Linked DNA regions of Nothobranchius furzeri. The protein of the gene in region 1 interacts with the protein of each later gene in a biochemical or structural test. Links are inferred from orthologs where the notes say so. Each region holds a gene or a part of one and is shown in the gene's direction. Other genes may lie near its edges.

Region 1 (3,500 bases):
TGTAGTATTTTAACCAGAGTGCATCATAGAATAATGAAAATGCAGAAAAAATGTGTCCAGATGTTTGCTAAATTCAGCCTTTGTGTCATAGATAACAAGAATGAGCACCACTGTAACTGCAAACGTGTTAAAGGGAACAACCTGTTTGTTGTTGATCATAAAATCACAAAACTGTTGCACTTATCATTTTGGGAAAACAAAACAAACTCCTGAGTAAGCAGCGGAGATTCTAAAATGCAACTTTTTTTTCCTCATCTTTCATCACTTAACTGTTTTTTGTTTCCTGTTTTGTCAAATCAGGAGAATACATCAAAACCTGGAGGCCAAGGTATTTTCTCCTCAAGAGTGACGGTACATTTATCGGATACAAAGAGCGACCACAAGATGTTGACCAGCTGGAAACCCCCTTAAATAACTTCTCTGTAGCACGTGAGTGTCTGCTCCAAAGAAACCCCCTCTTCTCTGTGTCTTGGCAGCTTGTTCTACCCTCCAGTTTGATGCTTTTCTTCTTTTTACTTGCTTTGTTGTTAGAAGTACTTTCACATACTTGTTCTCAGATGTGTCCTGTTTGTAAAATATAGTTTAAACCCTTTGTATTCTGGGGGAAACTGTGTCTAAAAGCCTAATAATATCCTTACTGAAAGGGAATCGAGAGTAAAAAGACTATTGATTTTGGTTTGCTTTCGTGGCGAGCCCTCCTAGATGTCCTGAATGCATTTCCTCAAACTGTCACAATAAATCCGTTATCGACGCTAATGTATAAATACTACATCTAGGACAAAATACTCAGTGTTTTGCACCTTTTTTCTAAGAGTCTGTTCAGCTGATAAGGTTTTTTTTTCCCCTGCTCATCATTGCCACATTGAGTGCATAACTAGTGTTTTTAAAGTGTGGTTTCAGTTTAGCTATTTGTTAACCTCAGGAACTCTAAACACAGGATGCACAAAGCCACTTGGAGAATGCAGCAGATTGTAGCTTACCCAGGGCTTTCCAGGATTCCCTGGATTCTTTTCTGGATTTCAAAAGGAATGCACAATGATTACATAACTTCAAGTTCAAAATGTATATTTTTTGTGTGCATCAGTCCTCAATAAACTTAAAAACAGCCAATTTGCTGCATTGAGTCTAAATTGATTTAGAAAGCCAAGAGTTTGGGTTACATTTTGAAATCATGGTATTGAGGATGTTTACGTGGAAACTGGACTTGATAACATCATGTGATAGTTAAGGCTTTCACACGATGTGGTAAAAATGAATCTATTTAAATACACTGAAGTAACATGTTTATATTGTCCCAGAGTTAAGGGAATTGGTTTTAAAGAGATGCATAAAAAAGTTAGCTGATGGCCTAAAATCAGAGAAAAGTAACGCATTGCCAGTTGTTTAATTGGGGTATGTAATTCAAATGAAACTTTCTGTGCTGCTAGTTGGTTCTGTACTACCTGTAAACACTCAAAACATGGAAAACAGCTTTCCATCTGTTTTGGTCACTTTTTGGTTTAGGAATTGTATGCATAAAACAAGTTGATTCAAAAAGTCTCCGTTTGTGACATCACAATTGCAGGAATTAGCATAGAACCACCACTCACCTGTCTGTTGTCATGCTCGGAATTTTAGTTTTTAGAATTTCCTTGGCCCCATTTGATGCTTCAGTCAACAATATACTGTGCCGTAAAATTTCCAAGCTACACAAGTGAGAGTAGGGGGTGGCACATCTGACCTATTGGCCAGGAGTTGAAGCGTTTGCCCTTCACCTATTGCATCAAATAGGATGTCGCTCAGAGGTTTGAAGCTGATATGAGGCTGCCGAAGAGATGCATCTGAAGGAAATTTTAGTGTTTCCAGCCATATATTATGTTGGGTGACTTGTTGACGAGTCTATGGAGTGCTTTTATTGGACCCTTGTGCCTGCTCTGTCTTCTCGATCCCCAGTGAGTCGTGGAGGATGGCTGCTTATACTGAGCCAGGATTCTCTGGAGGTTTCTTCCTGTTAAAAGGGAGTTTTCCTCTCCACTGTTGCTGCATGCTTGCTTAGTATGAGGATTGCATCAAGTCACTGACACTAGTCGGTGACTTGATGCAATTTGCTGGGTTCCTTTATATAGGAAACTTTTTTCTGATTGGCTTAATGAACTGACCTGGATCGGAATGTTTATTATATGAAGTGCCTTGAGACGACTCGTCGTGATTTGGCGCTATATAAATAAACTTGAATTGAATTGCATTAAAGAGCATTTTTGTTCAAGATGGTTCTATTCCGTCAGTGATACGAGCCTTCGGACGATGAGTTAGACATTATTTTAATTCTAGAGTAGCTTGACGAAAGCATTTACTGTGTCTGCAGTTATTGTTATGTTATATCCTTGATTGGCATACATGACTGGAATCACAAGCATCCTGGCTTTCTAATGAGGTACATATGTGTGTGTGTGCATTAGGGTTGTCACGATACTAAAATTTCAAACTTGATTCGATACTTGAAAAATAACTCGATGCTCGATTTCGATACTATTTAAAAACACCAATTTATTGAGCAAGTTTATTCGAAAAATAACATTCCTCAATTTATATTGCAAAAATTAAATGTTAAGAATTAAGTGTATTAAGTGCTTAAACCTTTCAAGTATCAGCATTTTTTAAAACGTGCATACAAAAACTGGTGAAAGTTAACACTTTAAATCATGAATTGTCTCACTATGAATACACTATTTGCAGAGTGATGTTTTGCTGCTTAAACTCTGTTTAAGGTGCATTTTTGTCATAAGATGTAATGCCATATGTTTTGTTCTGTACTTTTGAACAACTCTGTTGGCCAATAAAGGGAGAAAAGGAATTTCTCCACAGTAGGACAAAGGTACATCTACCGGTAATCTTAATAAAAACAGACTGGCGCACGGCAGTGACGTCATTAAAAGCGCCGGTTAATTAGCCGCAGCTAGTCTGTTCACGCCTAGAAATCCCAGACCCGCTCCAAACGAACAGGGGAATCATGTTAATGATTTCTAACAAAACCTTTCGACATTGAGATGTGTTTTGGTGCAGATAATGTCTTATTTCGAGGCTGCACCATGGGTGCCCGTCCGCACCCGTTATATGGATATACACTGATGGCGATTCGCTGATGGATCTAAATACCCCGGGGAATCCAAGTAGCACCAAAGTTGTCAGCGTGAGTAAACAAACGTACTGCATGCTAGAAATTAAGTCTGGGTTGCAATAAACGGGAGTTTTCCTTTAAGCACATAAGCGTGAATATACAACTACGTGTCGGACTTGGTATGCTAATTAAGTTGGGCTGTGAAGCGCCTCCCAAATTCACTGTTTATGTTTTTGTTTATTTATTTGGCAGACAAAACTTGGATCGGAGACAACTCGCGTGGGAAATTGCAATGTAGCCATGCGGCGTCTTCTTCTGTTTGTCTGGGAGGCGGAGGCTGCTTTACGGCATCTGGCTGTCGTGCGTGTCGGTGTACTTGAAGAAGGCTGTGTATAATAGTCCA
Region 2 (3,500 bases), on another chromosome or scaffold:
TTTATTACAGTAATAATGCAGTGGATATCGTTTGTTTTTACTGTGCAGTTGGGTTTTGTTTTACCATGTTATGATGCGATTTACATAAATACCAACTCTGTTTCACCAGGTTTCGGTGAATCAGAACTGTTTTCCCATTACATAAAAATGAAACATCTTTTTGTTTTCAGCTCAGAGGCTTGAAAGACTGAGGAAAGAACGTCAGAACCAAATAAAATGTAAAAATGTTCAGTGGAAGGACCGGACATCCTCCCAGTCTGGTACGTAGTTTAAATTGTTTCAAATAATCAATTTTTCTCTCGTCTGTTTTAGCTCTGATGTCATCATCACGTTCCAACAGGTTAGACAAACATTGCTGTAAAAGGGGAGTTCTTGCACATCTTTTAGTGTATTAGGATCATGTGTGGTCATTTAAGGCATAAATAACATAGTCATGTATTTTTGTTTTATTAGATCTATTTTGTATTCAATTATTCATTTAAATATTGTGATCATATTTTATGGCCTTATCACCCAGATCTAAAATATCCACAACCCTTTTTAAAGTTTGGATTTCCCGTTAAACACATGAAAACTAACATGTTGTGACTGTTAAACATATTCTTTTGTTTTTACAATGAGTAGGGCTGCAACAGATCTGAAACAAGGACTGAACGCAGTCGTCTGTGTGATTTAATAATATGGAACATCAAATATCAAATTTTTTATGATTCTTAAAGGAGTGGTTCCATAATTTAAACATTTGCAGTGGTCTCTAGTAGGAATAAATGCCTTGTAAGCAAGTCATACTCAGGGGGAAAAAAGCTCAGATGCACGTAATCAGGACGTCAGTTGGAGGAAAAACTAGCTTCAGACGATAGGTTTTGGACTCTCCTGACTTTGGACTTTCCTGATATTTGGACATCTCACCTCTGATTGGCTAACAGCAACGCAACTTTACCCCTGACTGTTTGCTCTGTAACGTTGATGTTTTATCTCCACATCTAACTCAAGCGTGGAGGAGTTCTGCTGTGTGGTGGAGTTGCTAATGCTAATGGCTACTAGTTGAGACATCCTCTGCTCTATACTTGACTCAACAACAGCCCTTCCCATCTCGAGTCAAAATGAGTGAGTCCATGAATCTTAAATGACAGTGTGACGTAGATCTGTCAGGCTTATCAAATCGTAGAGTTTCCCCGTCTATTTTCTATTAGAAGCTAATGCAGGAGATAGGTGTAGGAGACCATTTTCATGTTCTGCCTGCATGAAATCTCAGTGTGACTGATTATAATCAGAAATAATCATTAAAATGGTTTTTCAGTGATCCACATCTTTAAATAAAAGTGGCATGAATATATTTATGTTTACTACTTTTTGATTTTCTGTTCAGTAGAAGATCTGGGCTCTCTGTTTGAGAAACGGGATTATAAGGACAGGCTGCGGACATTGGGAACTAAATCCACCTTGTCCCTGCGTCTGGAGCAGTGTCCTCAGCAGCTCAACAACCCCTTTAATGAATACTCCAAGTTTGATGGCAAGGTGAGAATCCCTTTATCGGTCCATCTATGTCACTTTAGTTTGACCTTTGTGATCACCCACTGCCTAATGGCTAAAGGTGTGTATGTTAGGCATTGAATGGTAAAACTAACTCATCTGTGCTGTAGGTAGGCGGGCTCAGAGGAGATGTTAAAAGAAACTAATTTAGAGCTGAAAGTTCTTACTCTCTACAACTTTAGGGTCACATCGGAACGACAGCTACGAAAAAGATCGACGTTTACCTCTCAATGCAGATGACTCAGGAGAAAGTGCATCCAATGACTGTGGTCACCATTGCAAATGCCCGCGTCCACGACCTCATCGGGCTCATTTGTTGGCAGTATACAGGCGAAGGGAGAGAACCCAAACTCAAGTGAGTTCAAAGACATCCCAAGAAAATTCCAGCTGTGTTTCTTCACTCAACCCACTTCACTGATGGGTCTGTGGCACTTCCAGTAATTTTCTCCCAACTTTTCAGTACCTGCTTGATTGTGGTTCCTAGCGTTCTGACCAAGTCAGTCACTGATTGGCTAGGGGGTGGAGTCACTCGTTATTCCAGAGCTTTCTACTTGATGCTTCACTGGTTCAGAGTCTGACAAAAAGCCAGCGACTGAGCACAATGCTCATAATCATCGCAATTGTTGTGCTGAGTGGTGTTTCTGCGTAGCATACAGATCACCTCATGCTGTTTACTGATCATGAGTAGTGTCTTGGTAAATCCCTAGCCTGGCCTGCCAGACTCATCCTCTGTCTACACAGAGAACTAGTCTGGTTACTCACAGGCAGGGAGGTACATGAGGGGCGGGACTAGCCAGCTCAAAAATAACCAATCAGAAAAAAGGCGTAATGCAGACTGTACCACGCAACGCTGTAGTTTTTCAGCTGTAGTCAAAAATGGCATTTGGCGAAGGTGCAAACATCTTTCTTTAGAAGAAAGGCTTTTATCGCTTCCTCTTGTTGTGGTTTTAAAGACATGTCCAAGTCATTTAGAACAGAGGAAAGAGCCGCAGCAAACTCCACTTCAGACGCCATGTTTATGAGAAACTCAGCATTGCGGTGTGTGACGTACGCTGCTCAGCACTGATTGGCTCGATTAGAATTCTCCGAGGGTGGGGCTGGCTGGTCAGGCCAAAAAATCCCCATGTGATGATGTTCTGAATGTGAGAAGAATGATGAAATTGGTTGGTTAAAGTTACTTGACACCTGATCTGTTTCAAGCTTTCAGTGAATGTAGTCACATGACAGTAATGATGTTCATCTGTGTATAAGTAAGTGTGTGAAATAATAAGAATCAGCAATGTGGTTTAACCATTCTAAACCAGCCTGCAGTGCTGTCTCAAAGATGGTTCCAATGACCTTCAGATGATTCCAGAACAAACTCCCTCCTTGAAGGTGTTAGGGTTGCGATCTTGTCACCCTGGACTCATCTCTGAGAAGAGCCTGAAACTGGCTTTGAGACAGCCCTCCGTGGAACAAGGGATTCTGCAATCTCTCAGCTTTGTTCCTGTTGTGGCTAACCTTCCTGAAACTTCCACATAACAGCTTGACCAGGAAGTGCATTATGCACCAGTATTGGTCTGCCTCTGTGTGACAGCTGTTAAGTGTCCCTCTGCTCCTGCCTACAGTGAGAATGTAGATGCCTACTGCCTCCACATTGCTGAGGATGATGGTGAGGTGGACACCGACTTCCCGCCGCTGGACTCCAACGAACCAATCCACAAGTTTGGCTTCAGCACTTTAGCGCTGGTGGAGAAATATTCATCCCCTGGCCTCACTTCTAGACAATCACTGTTTGTCAGAATGTAAGCTCAGAATAATCATATTTTGACAAAATGCAATACATTTTTAGCAAACCTGATTGTTATCAAGCACCAATAGTGCTATTTTGTAACGTTCAACTGTGAATAGGCAAGCCAGCGTTATTTATATAGAACATTTCATACGCAGAAGCAATTCAATCTGCTTTCCAGGTGCAAGAACAGCAA
Region 3 (3,500 bases), on another chromosome or scaffold:
ATTCCTCCTAAAGTTCAGGAGAAGTGGATTTGTGGTCAAAATGAAGTTTTCTCTCTTTGAACAACTGTCTGCAGATGAGTGATTGCTCTTTGTGAAGCTGCCCTCTTTGATCAATCGCCATCTGTCGTTTTACCCGATGCATTTCCCCCTACTGCCTGTGTTCCTATTCTCGCCCAGCCTCTCCCCCCGGATCCTCTCACGCACCTGTCCTCTTGCCCTCCCTAGGTTTCTGAAAGCTCTCAGCTTTGCCTCGCTGGATAAAGAGGAACTCCTCAGCCCCATCAACCAGAGCACTCTGCAGCGCTGCTCGTCAGTGCGCTCCGTGGTCCCCAGCGCCACCTTTGGCTGTAACGACGACTACATTGGCCTGGCACTGCCGATGAACATCAACGATATGTTTCACATCCGAGAATCTACCTACTTCCAGCAGAGGATCAGCCCACCATCAGAGGAACGGAAACGCTTCCTGTTTGGTGATGGAGATGGTACAACGCAGCATCACGTCTGACTAAATGATCAAACCCAACAGAGGAACAGTATTTTGAAAAAGATCATTTTGTTTGGTTATCTCTGTAGGGGATCGACCCACTGTCCCATTACTGAAGCAACAGTTTAGCATCTCTGAGCTGATCGTGTGCCGAGGTGACACTCCTAACCACATGGTGGGCTCGGAGGAGACGGGCCTGCAGGATCACACTGAGGAAAACTGCCTCTACTGTGTGGGAGCCATTGTCCTCGGATACCCCACAAAGCCACAGATCAACAGCACACACCCTCGAGGTGAGGGCACACATTCTTTTAGCAAGGATGATAGTGTTCCTTAGTGTAGAATAACAATAAAACCTCTGTTTGTTTTAAATCCCCAGATTATGTGGATTTTCCTTCATGGGGAGGCCAGAGCGGGCATCGGTTGGAGGTGATGCCTCAGTCCAAGTTCTCTGGGGTGTCGGGCTGCAGCGACGCTGCCGTCTCACAAGGGTCCATCTCCAGCACGCCCACACCTGGAGACATCGTCATTGGTATGTGCTCCTCCATCCACAACGTGTATCTTTTATATAGGAGGGCATAAAGGCCACATTATCACACATTAGTCAGATCAGATTCTTGGATTCATCTTCAAACATATGAATTAATGTCAGCAGCAGCTTGGAGTCAACCTGTTCACACTCCTTCCTTCTGGCAGGTGATGAGCAGCCTCGTTCCCTGAGGCTCATGAACTCCAAAGCTTGAGCTGTACTTTGCTGTCTACCTGTAGGAATTTAGATGTTTGTTAATGATTTATTTGTTCGTGTTAAAACATTTGACCCTAACATGCTGCTGAATGATTATGAATATACAAATCGGAATATCTACTTTTTTGTCCTCTAGGTGGAAAGGCAATATCTGAGGATGGCCCCGCCTCTCGAGTCTTGCTGAGGAAGGAGATTCTCCGACTCATCATCAATCTCAGCTCTTCTGTAGGAACCAAAGGCCACGAAACAGGACTACTGACGTAAGTCTGGTGTTGTAGTTCAGCTGTAAAACTGGTCCTTCGGTCTGCCGATGAGGGGTTTATTTGGGTCTCTGATGCTCAGTAGTGATGGATCGATGCTCTCCATCACGTTTATTTTCTCTGAGAGGACAGGAAAGAGTCCAACTCAGAATGACTGGGCCAGTATTCGTTCCTGTAGAGCAAAGTTAACAACTGTAACTATAAATCCGTCACTGCCAGCCATTTTATGAACAGAAAACTCCTGATGGCCAGCGTTTTTGAGCGTTTTTACAGTTTTTTTGAAGAGTCTCAGAACATTGTGCTCTATGACCATGTAAAGATGAATCAACATGTTTTTTACTCTTGCCGTTCTTTCACTGTCCGTTGTTGACATGTGAGCTGCAGGAGCTTTTTCCAGTTTGCGCCTCACTTTAGGCAGAGCGGCGTCCCAAACTGATCTCCTAGTTCATGGATTGTCTGCTTCATGATCATGTGACATGTGACACACACAGATGAAGATCCACCTGTAGAGTCGTGATGTTTACTCTCAGGGTGCTCGTTCCACGCCCGCCCCATTAATAAAGGCAATTGACGACTTTAGTCATTTTATTCACTTGACTGTCTTAAGGTTGGTTTATGCTTGACGCATCCGCGAGGTCCGCACAGCTTCGCGCGGCGAAATTGCGTCATTTTAACTACCACACTCCCCCACCGCACCTCCGCACGGCCCAAAATTTCCGCACCGTGCACCTAGGAAATTTTCTAACCACGCGGACGGTCGGACGCGGAAAAACATGGCGGACCGGCAAGAACTAGTATGGCAGAGGTTCGTAAATACAGACATTTGTATGATTCAGCTCTCAGAGATCACCGTGATCAACATGTTGTTAATAATTCTTGGAGAGAAATAGCTCGCACTGTCGGAAAAGACGAGGACGCTGTTAAAAAAATGCTGGAATGTCATGTTGTAAACAATAATTTCTACTTCTACTATGGTGTAGTGTTGGATACATGCCATAGAGCTCCATGCTGCCCCCTACAGTTTGGGAGAATATTGGCTCACCGCAGAGACAAGCCGCATGAACCATAAACGCTGCAAGTTGGGAAGCGCGTTCCAGCCGCGAGCCGCATCACCAAGCGGAAAGTGAATGCGTCAAGCATAAACCAAGCTTAAGCCTGTAGCAGCATAACTAAAAGGGTGAGCCAAGATGACCGTATTTTATCAAATAGGAGAGCCTAGTTTAAAAGTAGAGCAGGCGTGTGCCTCCAAAGGGAGAGGCCTGAGAGCTGTACGCTCTGCCTCCTAATCTACCTTTAGAAACGTTAGAAATCACAAGCAAAGCTGCAGCCTGAGAGCCGGGCATTCTGTTGTGGACATCTGGATAAACGGTAACTAATATCTAAGATGCTGCTTTCAGAGTTTCAGAAGTAAGAATATAATGAATGAAGTGATGCTTAAACAGGAGAAATCAGATCCTCTCTTCATCAGAACCCTGGTAGCGACCTTTGGGATCAGCTGGAGGCTTTGAGGAGAATAATTAAAACAACACTGATAATAAAGAATTAAAGTTATCTAGCTTAGAATAAGTAAATGTGTGATCTAGTCCTTCAGAGTCTCTTTGGATCAGTTTTAAAAATATCCTAGGGGTGGGCAGTAAATTGAACATGTATCGTTATTGAAATTTCTGACTCAATATCATTTTTCCCATGACAATAAATTCGATAATATATAAAAATAAAGATGTGTGACCGTTGGCGTAGCTTTAAGAAGCGGTACCACCTTGGTTACATGACGATGTGAGAGCCCCATCTAGTGGACAACGTTTGTTTCTGAGCTTACATTTAGTTATCCATTTATCGTTATTGAGGTGAAGTCTTCAATATAATGTGATATTGATTTTAGGCCGCATCGCCCAGCCCTAAGTCCCATAAAATGTATTCTATGATAATTAAAGGGCCCTGCTCTAGAATAGAGGTAAGGTCCAAAAATCACCAACTCTGATCCCGACTAAATTTCCCAGCAGGACAC
Region 4 (3,985 bases), on another chromosome or scaffold:
GACAAGTCTTCAAAGCCCATCCAGATCTCAGGTTTTGTGTTGCTGATTGTTTTCAGAAAGAAATCCTTTGTTCAGTTTGCTGGACATTTATAAACGTCTTTAAACAATGAGTTAAATCAGATATTCTTTCTGTTTTTACAGCAGAGGACATGCAGGGCAAAACGGAGGAGGAAATTGAAATGATGAAGTTAATGGGATTTTCTTCATTTGATTCTTCTAAAGTGAGTGAAAAATGTGTGCATGCAGCCACCAGGTGGCGCTGTGTTCCTGAGTTGTGGCCATTCACCACGACGGCTTCATGCTTGCTGATACTTCGCAGTTTTAAGACTGTTTGACATTCAGAAAACGACACAAGACAGGAAGTGCACCATCAGCCACTGTCTAGTAGCGTTTGCTGATTGATGAACTGTAAATGTAATAGACCACATCAGGATAGCATCTGCAGCATGTATTTCTGTTTGTGATTGAACATTGTTTTCCCACAGGGGAAGAAAACAGATGGATCAGTTAATGCATTTGCCATCAACGTTAGCATGAAGAGAAAGTACAGGTACGTTCACAGAGAAAAATATCAAGTTAGCCTGCAAATACTGAAGTTTAGCGGTGTCATGGAGAATTTTGTGCATAGCACATTAAGCAGAGCGACTTTTAAAATGATTGTTGAAGCAGCTAATTTTTAATAAACAAAGTTTTATCCTGTTGGGAAATTGGCATTACAAGCAGCAACCACTATTAAAGTAGCCAATCACGTCAGCAGGTGTCTCTCTGCAGAGAATCCTGCTCTCCTATTGACTCTTGATGATGTAATCTGCAAGTGTTGAGAGGGAAGTTGTGATGCACTGTTGTTCTAAATGTTTTTACAGGCAGTACATGAACAGAAAGGGAGGATTCAACAGGCCGCTGGATTTCATCGCTTGAAAATGTCACGCTGCATTTCCTCCTTTTTCCAGCAAGGGGAGGACATGGATTACATGCTGTTAAATGTGATGCAGCAGTTCTGTGTATATATTATCACTCAACATGTAGTTGTTCCTTCAGTTATTTAGTTTTTGTTGCTGTGCTTTTTACGTGTTGTTGGAAATAAACTCTTTGAAATTGATGGTGTGCTGATTATGTAGAGCATGTGTTTCTTTTTCTGCCCAGATCTGCACAAACATGTCAATTTGTGTTGATGTATTTGAGGAGTCGTCACTAGTACCAGAGACCAGGGAGCTTCGTCTAATCCAATGTCTCCTCTGGACAGAGATACCTGGGGTCGTTCCTGAGATCGGCTGGAGCCACTAGTCCAGTTGAAAACTCAAATGTGTCAAAAGATCTTCACATATTGTGAGTTTTCTGTAAATGTGAAAGTTTTTGTCAGATTACTGCAGCATCTCACAGTCCCACACATCTATGCAAAAGCGGAGCTTTAAAGATAGATTAAATAAAAGTTTAACTTTATTGAAGTTTCAAACAACAGAAGTGTGTGTTGTAAATGTTCTTGCATTTTTTATTTATTTTTTATTAGGGTTTGGATTTTTGGTGCATAAGAGTACCTGGAAGGTACTTTTCGTTGCACGAGAATGATAAAGGAGTTGTCTCGGTTTCTTTTCTTTTCTTTTTTTCTTTCTTTTTTTTTTTTTTTTTTTTTTTGTTTGTTTTGTTAACATATTTTTCGTCGTTTCACGTTGATTGCATTCAGGAACATTGTGTACTTTTTTTGAATGCGGGTCCGCTTCTTTTCAGTGTGCCGGCGAATGAACCTGGCGGAAGTGATGAGCGGCGACGGAGGTCAGTCAGATTGATTGAGCAGATTATTGCACTGCTAGAAATGTATACATATAAATTCTATTCAGATAGATTCCTGCATAAAACCTACTATGGTGGGCGTGTTGGACTCGTAACACTGCGTAAGCTCCGTCCACCCGGCGCGCTGGTACGTGCGTTGATATTTCAGTCTAGATGTTTTCACAGAGTAACAAGTTAATGTGTGTGTATGTGAGTAATAAAGTTTCTATTAAAAAGTTTGTGAAAGTGCGCTTGCGCGCACATTGCAGGTTGTGATAGGAAAAGTAAAGGGACTATCAAACCAATCGTAGAAGGAAGAAGTGAGGCAAACAACACCACGAGAGCCAATCACAGCCGTACACCACGAAACAGCATGGCAGGGAGGCGTGGCTTCTGTTAAAGGGACGTTGACATTTTCGTGAGCTCGTGGGCATCGGAGCCAATAGCTGACAAGTTTACCTGAAAACAGCCAATCACAGAACGTGAATTCAGTATTGAGAAAAGCCGTCCATTATGGCTCCCTAGTTGTTTACTGTCTAGTCCACAGACATCGGTCTAGTTCACTTAAGAACCAAAATGGCGTGGACGGTTATCAGTTGCAGTGTGGGTCGATCCCTTTGAGTCATTGATGTTTTAGACAGCCAATAAAAGCTGGAGTGGATATAGTCAACATCCAATCATGTGACAGCACACAGCGGCTTTGTGTTACAGTACAGTTGGGAGCTGCTATCCACATAAGCCTCTATTTTGGATGCACTTTGACAAATTTCCGCCGTTCTGTGTCAGTCGTTACATTCAGCTAGACGAGGCACGCGTTTTTAGTGATAACCAGTACATAACCAGCTAGCCAAAAAGTCTGGAACCAAAACGGCTGGATTGCATCGTCAAGATAATCCAGGAATTAGTTCATCTTTTTAAAATATTCCTGATTTCCGGCAAGTGCGTCCAGCCTAACAGCATCTTTTTGTTTTTTGGCTGATGACTTGAACCTAAAGTCGTTTGTAGTCAGTCGCTAACGTTTGCCAACTTTTTGTTGTTATTCCTAAAACTAGTCAGAAAATACTATCGATTTTTTGTTTCGTTTTTATCAACAGCCATCTGTATTTCTTGAAGAGAGATTCGTCTAACCAGTGATACTAAGTCACCCAAATCAAATGGTTTAAAGGTATAATCTTAGCTGTGGGGAAGTGTTAGCGTCTACCGTGGCTAAAAGGCTACCACCAAGCCTTTAAAGCTGTTTTTTTATATAGGAGAAACCAGTTTCGCTTTCCACGTCTTTTATCGGGACCTTTTATTTTAAAAATCGATTGATTGAAATCCTGCAGAAGCAACTCGAAAACAACATTTTAGAACAATAAGTGAGAACAACAGGGAACCCAAGAGTTCAGAAATAGAAGCGTGACTACAGTAACGGAATCCCTCGTTGGATTATTGTAATATTATTAGTGTTATTGTTGAAAATGGCGTCGATCGAAATGGTGCAGATGTTGATCGAAGCAGCAGAGTACCTCGATCGCAGGGAACGAGGTAAAGTATATTTTAATTCTAATTCTATGCTGTTAAAAAACAACACATTCCCACTTCGTTCATGTCTGCCCATTATCACGCTGATCGGGCTCTTTATGCGTCCGGCAAATAGGTTTTATATTCTTAAGTTGCACATCCTGTTCTTAACCCAGGTGTTCATCGTTGACTATGATGATGACAATAAATAGGATTTATAAAATATGAATGGTGCAGTGATTAACGTGCATTGTGCATCTTTTATGAAAGGAGAAATCATGCAAATGCTATTAAAAATATAGGAACACAATGTTTAGTTGCAAGCTCCTCCTTTCCTTCTGTTGTGGTTTGCTGGTAGGGTTTATCGTAGTTCAGGATGACATCATTGTCCAAGCTGTGAGGGTGGGTGGGGGGGCACTGTTTAAAGATACTGCATTATTAAATCCGTTCATTCCATGCATGCATCCCAGCATAACACATTGGATGTAAGATGATGCAGATGGGGATGTGTGCAACATCTCGTGTCTCCCACCCTGGCTATGTTTGCAGATAACAGGACATGTGACCACTGTTGTTTATTTGCTTGCAGAAGCTGAACACGGCTATGCCTCCATGCCACCCTTCATCAGCAGCAGAGAGAGGGAAAGCTTGAAAAGGAAAAGCAAAAGCAAGAAAAACACAAGTAGCAGGTAAAGGCATACTCAGCTTGTTGAAT
Region 5 (3,472 bases), on another chromosome or scaffold:
CTCCTCAGATACAGACATGTTTTAACCTGAATGAGTATCTTATTGTAATGTGTGTGAGTGTAAACAATGATTAACTTGTTACATCAACACACACTGATGTGTGGTATAAATGGATCATGGTAAGAACAATATTCATTTGAATTCATTGGTTTAAGCACAGATTATTCAATCATTTCATTTAATCCTCTTGTTCATTCATCACATGATTATTTAACTCATGAGTTGTAAAGTGGTGGAGTCTTCACCGGTTCAGAGTGAAGAATGTTACATGAAGAGAGTGTAGGACCTTGGGAGAGAACGTCTGGATGTTTTGTCTTCATGTATGTAAACACGCGCTGAACAGAACCTTCTGGTTCTGGAAGGCCAAACAGGAAGTGGATTTATGCCGCAGATGAAAGGTGAAAACCGACCCTTTTGGGCGTTACACTTTGAAGATGGGATGATGGTAAAATTTGTTGTTTATGGTTAAAAATGTGGCTAAACAGGAAGATATTATAATATCTTCATTCCTGATTAGAATTCCAAATATCATCATATTTTTAGTGATGTGAACTGGCGTTTTTATTTTGATCCACATCTCCAGCTTTTCCAGAACAATTGTGCTTTCCGACGTTTGTAAAAGAGGAAGTCTATAGTTTCTATATGACTTCAGCAGTTGTTGCTTTCTGTTAAAACGAGGTCTTAAGAATCTGGAACGATGGATTGCTTTCATTTTAAAGTGGGTTTCTTTAGCTTTCGGTGGTGCAGATGGTTTTCCAGGAAGTGAGGATTGGTTTAAGGCTGATATTATAGGAAGGCTTCTGCGTTTTCTGTCCGTTAACGGAAGGTGTTTTCTAGATGAGACAGGAACGGTCGGGATAGCAGATATTCTTGGGTTTGGATGATAAATTGCTCTGGAAGTGCGTTGTGTAATCTGCTAGTCACGTTCAGAAGGATTAAAATTGTATCTTCTGCAGATTTTCATAATTCAAGATGACCGCCTAGATCCATTAAGTGTATAATCGACCATATATCACCTAACCAGTCCCTACAGAACAGTGGTTTGTTTTGTCCAACATAAATAGATCGTTCCTAATAACTATAGAGCGTGGAGAGTAGTTACGTACATATATGATTTTCCAACACAGTAAAATGTGTTTAGGTTTAGGAACAAGTGATGTGTCGGTCGCGAACGAACCGGCTCTAAGAGCCGGCTCTTTGAAGAGAACGACGGGAGCCGTCCCCTCCCCCACCCCTCTTGCTTTGGTGAAAGCTACAGGCGATTGGTTAACATGTGTAACTGTGTGTCCAGACTGTCCACACACAGAGCAGTAGGGGCGGGGAAGAGGGAGGATCAGACTCAGACACACAGCAGAGCACCTGCGGGCGGAGGGAGGCGAGCGGGAATGAGGAGGAGGAAAAAGGCGAGCGAGAGAGAGGAGAGTGCGACGAAGACGGTGAGAAAATGAGCGCCAGCAGTCGGAAAGTGGAGATTTCTTAAAGTGTTCAATTATTAAATCCATAGAAATGATAAATATTTGATATACATCATTTTTTTACATTAGTAAATCCTTTTACATATAGTTTAGCATTATTTTGGTTATAAATGTACTCTACACAACAGAAAATCTGAGGAGCCACTTGGGAGCCGAAAGAACCGGAATTCCCATCACTATTAGGAACGTCAGTGGCGTCCATCTTCTCCGAGTTGGACCCTGGAACTCAAAACTGGAACGCACAATGGCTCTCCTGTTGTGTGATCAGACTCGACATGGTGTTTTGAGAGTCTGATGAATAAAAAATGGGTTCGCGCGCTATTATTAGAACATTTTAAGATCGATAGTACTCCGAGAGCGAGCAACGCCTAAATGAACTTTGTGTTGCTGACGACCTGTACAGACGAGTGTCTGATGGTGACGTACACACGTGTAATCATTGGTGTGGCAGTTTGGTGCGACTCACCTTAAATGTAACATTTCAGCCCAAAACCGTCGTCGTGTCCCCGTCTTCAGGTTAAAACTCGGCTCCGCAGCCATGCAGAACCAGCTGGTTGGGCCAGTTCATCCACAGGATGACCCCTGACCCTGCTGCCGCGTTCAAACACATCAGATATGGATCAGAATCAGTACCACATATGGATCGGGTTTGCAAAAATCGGATCGGTGCTGTTCAGACATAAAAAAGCCGATACGGGTCTCATGTGGGGGAAACTTGGATTTGATCCAGCCTAAAGTAGAACCGGAACATGAACGGGTTTGTTTCTGTTCTAGATGTGAAGGTTCTGGTGGACCGGTGTCCTCACATCCAGACTCTAGATCTGAGGTAGGACTGTTTCCTTCAGTCATGTGACAACCCCCCCCTACCAGGTGAGCAGCACTAACCCAGGTGTGTTTTCCAGTGACGGCACCCTCCTGACGGCCAACAGCTTCCCGGTTCTCCGGCAGCTCCGGAAGCTGCTGCACCTGTCTCTGAGTCGCTGCTATCACATCCACCTGGCTGCTCTCAGGTCAGTTCTAATGCAACAGGTCGGGCAGAACCAAGAGCCCACCAGTACTGGTTCTGAATCAGCTGACTGATGTCAAAGGTTCCGCTGATCCAATGGTTTCAGAGGACTAACTGGTTCTGTCCCGGTGTTTGCAGCGACCTGGAGAAGCTGATCCCGTCGCTCCGGTTCCTGGACATCTTTGGACTGGTCCAGGAGAACCAGCTGTTGTCTCTGAAGGAGGAGCTTCCCCACATTAGCATCAACTCCAGACCCTTCTCCGCCGTGGCCCGGCCCACTCCCGCCTCCCGGCCGGACCGCAGCATGTGGGGCAGGACGTGTCGGCTCAGGGCGGGACCCTGACGGGGTTCTGCTGCAGCACGCTGGTCGTGCCACTAGTCCTACCGGACTTCTCGGGTTTTACGCTAGTATTGGTTCTGCCCGGCCCATACGGGCTGAAAGTTCTGGTTCTGCTCAGTAATAAGCTGTTGATTTTAATCATTGAAGTTTTTCTACCGCATGAAGTTCGACTCTGATCCATTTTAAATAATCAGTGAATGTTTTCAGAACCGCAAGTTTTTTATCCGAGTCGGATCCATTAAACCATTCCAAATCCTGAAACAGTTCTGATGTGTGGAACCCGGTCCTGAGTGCTGTGTGGAACCCGGTCCTGAGTGATGTGTGGAACCCGGTCCTGAGTGTTGTGTGGAACCCGGTCCTGAGTGCTGTGTGGAACCCGGTCCTGAGTGCTGTGTGGAACCCGGTCCTGAGTGTTGTGTGGAACCCGGCTCTTGAGTGATGTGTGGAACCCGGTCCTGAGTGATGTGTGGAACCCGGTCCTGAGTGTTGTGTGGAACCCGGTCCTGAGTGCTGTGTGGAACCCGGTCCTGAGTGCTGTGTGGAACCCGGTCCTGAGTGTTGTGTGGAACCCGGTCCTGAGTGATGTGTGGAACCCGGTCCTGAGTGTTGTGTGGAACCCGGCTCTTGAGTGATGTGTGGAACCCGGTCCTG
Region 6 (4,189 bases), on another chromosome or scaffold:
ACGAATCTGCAACACGAGCGCATGGTTTCACAACATTGTATATCGTGGTCACAAGCTTCATTTTCGGTCTCGTCCTCCGCCATTTGAGGGGATTGTGGTAACCAAACTGACATCATCAGATAATTATCTTGCCCTTAGATCAGAGCTGAGGGAACTCCTGGAAAAGGAAGCAATTTCCAGGGTTCAGAAAGGCGAGGAAAACTCAGGATTCTGCTCCCTCTACTTCCTGGTTCTGAAGAAGACGTGAGGAGCCAGGCCCGTTCTCGATCTGTCCTTGTTCAACCGCTTCATGGCGGTAAAACACTTCCATAAACTGACAATAAAACAGGTTCTAAGTTATGTGCACCCGGGTTAGGGTCCTCACACTTTGCACTTTCTCCAAATGCCTGGAGATGGCGCTTCAACCCTTACGCACTGCGGGCATGAGGATCCTCTTTTACTCTTTTATGATCTGCTGCTGCTGACATGCTCCGAGCCCGAAGTGGAATCACAGACGCAGGCGTTAGCAGACCACCTGCTCAGGCTGGGGATTTCCAAAAATTGGGAAAAAAGCTCCGTGATCGCTTCTTGGGTGATCACGTCATGGGAGTGGAACTGAACTCTGGGATCAGGAAAGCTTGCCTGTCTCAACTCTGGGTCTGCTTCACATGAGATGCATCCACCTTCCCCCACTCTTTCCACAAGCACGTCCTTGTGCTCCCGCGCAGGGTGCCACAAACTTCACATCCATGGACCTACTTGACAGTACTACATGGATCCTGCCAACAACGCCAAATGTGGCAAGGTGGAGAAACGAGGGCCCGGGCGGGATTCGATCCCCTGACTCCCGGGTGAGAGTCATGTGTTCTTACCAGTCAGCCAAAGGGACATCCCCATGGCCAAGTAGCCAGGGCGCATGATCAATCGGGACATTGTGACAGGACACTCACACTGTCACACATTGATAGTTCAGACGCCTCAAGGTTCACCCGATCCACCACAAACGCCGCATGATGATTGTCTCTAAGAAGACCCTAAGAAGAGCTGTTTCAGTTGAATGAGCTCTATGAAAACCTGACTGGAAACCATCATAGATGTTATGTTCATCAAGATCAGCTGTGAGTTGTTTGGCCACAACCTTTTCCAAGATCTTGGAGATGAACGGAAGTTTAGAGATGGGTCAAGACTGGGTTTTTTTTAAAGATTTGGGTTGGTTACAGCATTCTTAAAGCGCTCAGGGACCTGACCAGAAACCAAAGAAACATTAATTATAGAGAACACACTTGAACTGACGGATTTTTGCCGCAACACAGTTGTAAACAATAACTTCTAAATCTATTTTGCCTGGTTATTTTATTTTATTTTATTTTATATTTTATTTTATTTTATTTTATTTTGCGTCTTGGTGTGGATAACATGTATTTCCAGCTTTGGTTTTCAAGGTGTAGTACCACCATTCGCCACCTAGCCGCAGTAATAAGCTGAGGCGGAGTTAAACTCTCCAAAACCCACGAAGAAGAGCGAGCGTCGCCATGGCGGAAACAAAGCAGCAGGCAGGTAAAAAAATCCACCGGGATGTTGTTTCTTCGTTAAGTTCAGAGTCAAAGTGGTAAAAATGTCTTTAATCGTAGCGTTTAAGCCGCTTTTCTCCATGAGAACGAGTTTTACGGCGGTTAAACTAACCCGGAAGATACACGCTGACTTAGAGACAGAATAAGCTAACATTATCTTCACATTTTAATCACGTGATTAAAATGCTGTCTCATTTTAAATGTATTTGTAATATTTTTTATTGCTCGTGATGTTTTTTTAGCGTTTAATACATCCAGTTGGTTGTTTGGCAATCTTCGGTGTTTTACTGCAGGAATGTACCTCGGAAAGTATTCTTAACGTTGAATTACAGTGTTTTTCAATAATGTTCCAAATAGTTTATTTAATTTTTTCTCTATTCAATATTTCTAGGAACAACTTTCATAAATAACTATTGGGGGGGGTGGGGGGGGGGGGGGGGTAGATGCCCGTTCTTATTTCTATTTAAATATGCTGATTTTAGCAACAACAAACTCATTTTCGTATTTAATCCAACAGAATTAAATAAATTAATTAGAGCTGAGACCTGAATGACAGCAGGACTTCCTCTGTGTCCAGTGAAATAAGAATAATATATAAAATCACCGTCAGCCAGAGTTTTTGGTCCAAAGCTTTATGATTTAACTGAGTGAATGTTTTCAGCCTCCTCCCCTGAAGATGAAGCTCCTGAAGTTTCCGCCCAGGCCAGCTTCATGATACCTAAGAAGGAAATCAGCATGGTGCCCGACATGGGGAAGTGGAAGAGATCTCAGGTAGGTGTCTACCTGCAGCTCTGACACATGTAGCTCACATCCGTTTGGTTCTTTTCCTCTGACTTGTGTTTAAAGGAGAAAACCCCATCAGTTTAGTTTTATAGAAACCAGATGTTCAGATTGAGCTGATGGTGGAGGACATGAACCTGACATGGCGTCTCTGGTGTGTGTCTAAGGTTCTGCTTGTGCCCCACAGGCCTACGCCGACTACATAAGCTTCATCGTCACGCTGAATGAAGGAGTGAAGGGAAAGAAGATGTCGTGTGAATATGAAGTCTCCGAGGTTTGGTTTTTTTTAATGTCTGAAATGGTTTTTATTTTGACTCGGACACCTTTAGAGATGTTCCTCCTAGAGACGGAGTTCCTTTGGACTGAGAACACGGTTCTCCAGTTTTTGTCTCAGCGGACAAACAAAGTCCCTTAAGTAGGGTTGTCACGGTGTGAAAATGTAACCCCTCAGTTATTGTGACCAAAATTATCACGGTTTTCGGTATTAACGCGGTATTTTTTTAAACGTGTTACATTTTCAGACAACTAAATAAACCCTGTATATCAGGAAAATATTGTCCTCGGTTTGTGTCCTTCCAGTGAGCTTTGCAGATTTGGGAAAATGTCATCAGGCAGTAATCATTGTTAAATTCATAATTATTCTCGGAGAGACCAACTCTTATCTGCCCCTGGGAGCCCCGTCATGCATAGCGTCATTTCAACATGGCGGTGTCCGCGACACGGTTTATATGCAGGTAGCGGCACTGCGGCTGCTTTATATAGCGACTCGTTGCATTCTCCCTCAACCCAAATCCTCGGATCACGCATTTTAGCTAAAGCGCTAACGTTAGCTTGCCTTGCGTTGACTGTAGAGTTGTGGGTGATGGTCACGCAGATGTGTCATGAGATTTGAAGCGTTGCTGCCTTTCACAGACACTTTTTCTGCACCTGCTGCAAACAGGATAGCCGTCTTCTATCAACTGTCCCTCGGCATTCTTCAGATATCCAAAAGATGCCCGTACTTCCCACTTTGTCTTCTTTGAGGGATAATAAATGTACTCCTGAGCGCTGCCGTCTCCTCCTTTGGCCATTATTTCAGCTTTAGCTTCAAGAAAGTTTTGGTTGTAAACAACAAAGTGCGCATGTGCCGCCGGCAACTTCAGCAGATGATACGGTGGCTGGTAAGGGTCACCGCGCCTACACCGCAGCCACGGTAATCCACCGAGATAACATATGTTTTAAAAAAACAAGATGGTTATTATTATTGTCAACTTTTTTACCGGGGTTTACCGCTACACTGGTTACCGTGACAACCCTACCCTTAAGGAGGAGGTTTTCCCTCTGCAGCGTTCCGGTTCCTCCTACTCGTGGAGGTGTTCTGACGCTTCGAACAGCAGGTGATGAAGCCGCTTCATGTGGTTGCTTGTTGCAGACGGTGGACAGGCTGCTGGAGCTTTTGGGGACTTTGGACCGTTGGATAAACGAGACTCCTCCTGTTGACCAGCCGTCGCGTTTCGGTAACAAAGCCTACAGAACCTGGTTTGCCAAACTGGAGCAGGTTGGTTCAGACTTCCTCCCACACCGCCGAACCCCCACGCCGTTGATGCTGAGTGTGTCGTTCCTGTGTGTTCCCAGGAAGCCGAGACCTTGGTGTCCGCCGTACTTCCTGCCGACAGATCCGCTGCTGCTCCAGAGATTGCCGTCTACCTGAAAGAGTCGGTCGGGAACCCCACCAGGATAGACTATGGAACGGGTAACAAAGTGGGATTCTGATCCTGCTTCCCTTCCCGGCAGCCAGACTTCCTGTTAAACTGGTTCTGAAGGGACGGTCCTCCAGACCCTCTGGAGGTCTGATGGAGTTTGTGTTCTCAGGTCATGAA

What was found.
Region 2: of the proteins of akt1 (region 1) and mapkap1, one has a biochemical effect on the other in vitro, tested with the Homo sapiens proteins (3 studies listed by BioGRID, with this or other methods). The link is inferred for Nothobranchius furzeri from reciprocal best matches to the Homo sapiens genes AKT1 and MAPKAP1.
Region 3: of the proteins of akt1 (region 1) and rapamycin-insensitive companion of mTOR, one has a biochemical effect on the other in vitro, tested with the Homo sapiens proteins (7 studies listed by BioGRID, with this or other methods). The link is inferred for Nothobranchius furzeri from reciprocal best matches to the Homo sapiens genes AKT1 and RICTOR.
Region 4: of the proteins of akt1 (region 1) and mxd1, one has a biochemical effect on the other in vitro, tested with the Homo sapiens proteins (2 studies listed by BioGRID, with this or other methods). The link is inferred for Nothobranchius furzeri from reciprocal best matches to the Homo sapiens genes AKT1 and MXD1.
Region 5: of the proteins of akt1 (region 1) and skp2, one has a biochemical effect on the other in vitro, tested with the Homo sapiens proteins (4 studies listed by BioGRID, with this or other methods). The link is inferred for Nothobranchius furzeri from reciprocal best matches to the Homo sapiens genes AKT1 and SKP2.
Region 6: of the proteins of akt1 (region 1) and ptpa, one has a biochemical effect on the other in vitro, tested with the Homo sapiens proteins (2 studies listed by BioGRID). The link is inferred for Nothobranchius furzeri from reciprocal best matches to the Homo sapiens genes AKT1 and PTPA.

What each region holds. Positions count from the first base shown.
Region 1 is NC_091758.1:33,917,168-33,920,667, reverse strand, and holds part of akt1 (RAC-alpha serine/threonine-protein kinase), read left to right. Parts: intron 1-300; coding exon 301-429; intron 430-3,500. UniProt on the Homo sapiens protein: AKT1 is one of 3 closely related serine/threonine-protein kinases (AKT1, AKT2 and AKT3) called the AKT kinase, and which regulate many processes including metabolism, proliferation, cell survival, growth and angiogenesis.
Region 2 is NC_091746.1:37,008,283-37,011,782, forward strand, and holds part of mapkap1 (target of rapamycin complex 2 subunit MAPKAP1), read left to right. Parts: intron 1-170; coding exon 171-260; intron 261-1,369; coding exon 1,370-1,518; intron 1,519-1,715; coding exon 1,716-1,888; intron 1,889-3,140; coding exon 3,141-3,317; intron 3,318-3,500. UniProt on the Homo sapiens protein: Component of the mechanistic target of rapamycin complex 2 (mTORC2), which transduces signals from growth factors to pathways involved in proliferation, cytoskeletal organization, lipogenesis and anabolic output.
Region 3 is NC_091757.1:36,654,161-36,657,660, forward strand, and holds part of rapamycin-insensitive companion of mTOR, read left to right. Parts: intron 1-225; coding exon 226-485; intron 486-576; coding exon 577-780; intron 781-866; coding exon 867-1,019; intron 1,020-1,368; coding exon 1,369-1,492; intron 1,493-3,500. UniProt on the Homo sapiens protein: Component of the mechanistic target of rapamycin complex 2 (mTORC2), which transduces signals from growth factors to pathways involved in proliferation, cytoskeletal organization, lipogenesis and anabolic output.
Region 4 is NC_091757.1:29,115,900-29,119,884, forward strand, and holds the start of mxd1 (max dimerization protein 1), read left to right. Parts: upstream 1-1,185; 5' UTR 1,186-1,301; coding exon 1,302-1,326; intron 1,327-1,725; coding exon 1,726-1,770; intron 1,771-2,446; exon of another isoform or gene 2,447-3,227; coding exon of another isoform or gene 3,228-3,294; intron 3,295-3,697; exon of another isoform or gene 3,698-3,755; intron 3,756-3,859; coding exon 3,860-3,959; intron 3,960-3,985. Other genes in the region: snrnp27 (U4/U6.U5 small nuclear ribonucleoprotein 27 kDa protein), read left to right, coding at 1-31, 142-221, 486-550, 864-918. UniProt on the Homo sapiens protein: Component of a transcriptional repressor complex together with MAX. In complex with MAX binds to the core DNA sequence 5'-CAC[GA]TG-3'. Antagonizes MYC transcriptional activity by competing with MYC for MAX binding.
Region 5 is NC_091746.1:70,411,010-70,414,481, reverse strand, and holds the end of skp2 (S-phase kinase-associated protein 2), read left to right. Parts: intron 1-2,249; coding exon 2,250-2,301; intron 2,302-2,377; coding exon 2,378-2,485; intron 2,486-2,619; coding exon 2,620-2,824; 3' UTR 2,825-2,972; downstream 2,973-3,472. UniProt on the Homo sapiens protein: Substrate recognition component of a SCF (SKP1-CUL1-F-box protein) E3 ubiquitin-protein ligase complex which mediates the ubiquitination and subsequent proteasomal degradation of target proteins involved in cell cycle progression, signal transduction and transcription.
Region 6 is NC_091746.1:70,997,707-71,001,895, reverse strand, and holds the start of ptpa (serine/threonine-protein phosphatase 2A activator), read left to right. Parts: upstream 1-1,389; 5' UTR 1,390-1,511; coding exon 1,512-1,536; intron 1,537-2,211; coding exon 2,212-2,321; intron 2,322-2,517; coding exon 2,518-2,604; intron 2,605-3,741; coding exon 3,742-3,867; intron 3,868-3,944; coding exon 3,945-4,062; intron 4,063-4,181; coding exon 4,182-4,189. UniProt on the Homo sapiens protein: PPIases accelerate the folding of proteins. It catalyzes the cis-trans isomerization of proline imidic peptide bonds in oligopeptides. Acts as a regulatory subunit for serine/threonine-protein phosphatase 2A (PP2A).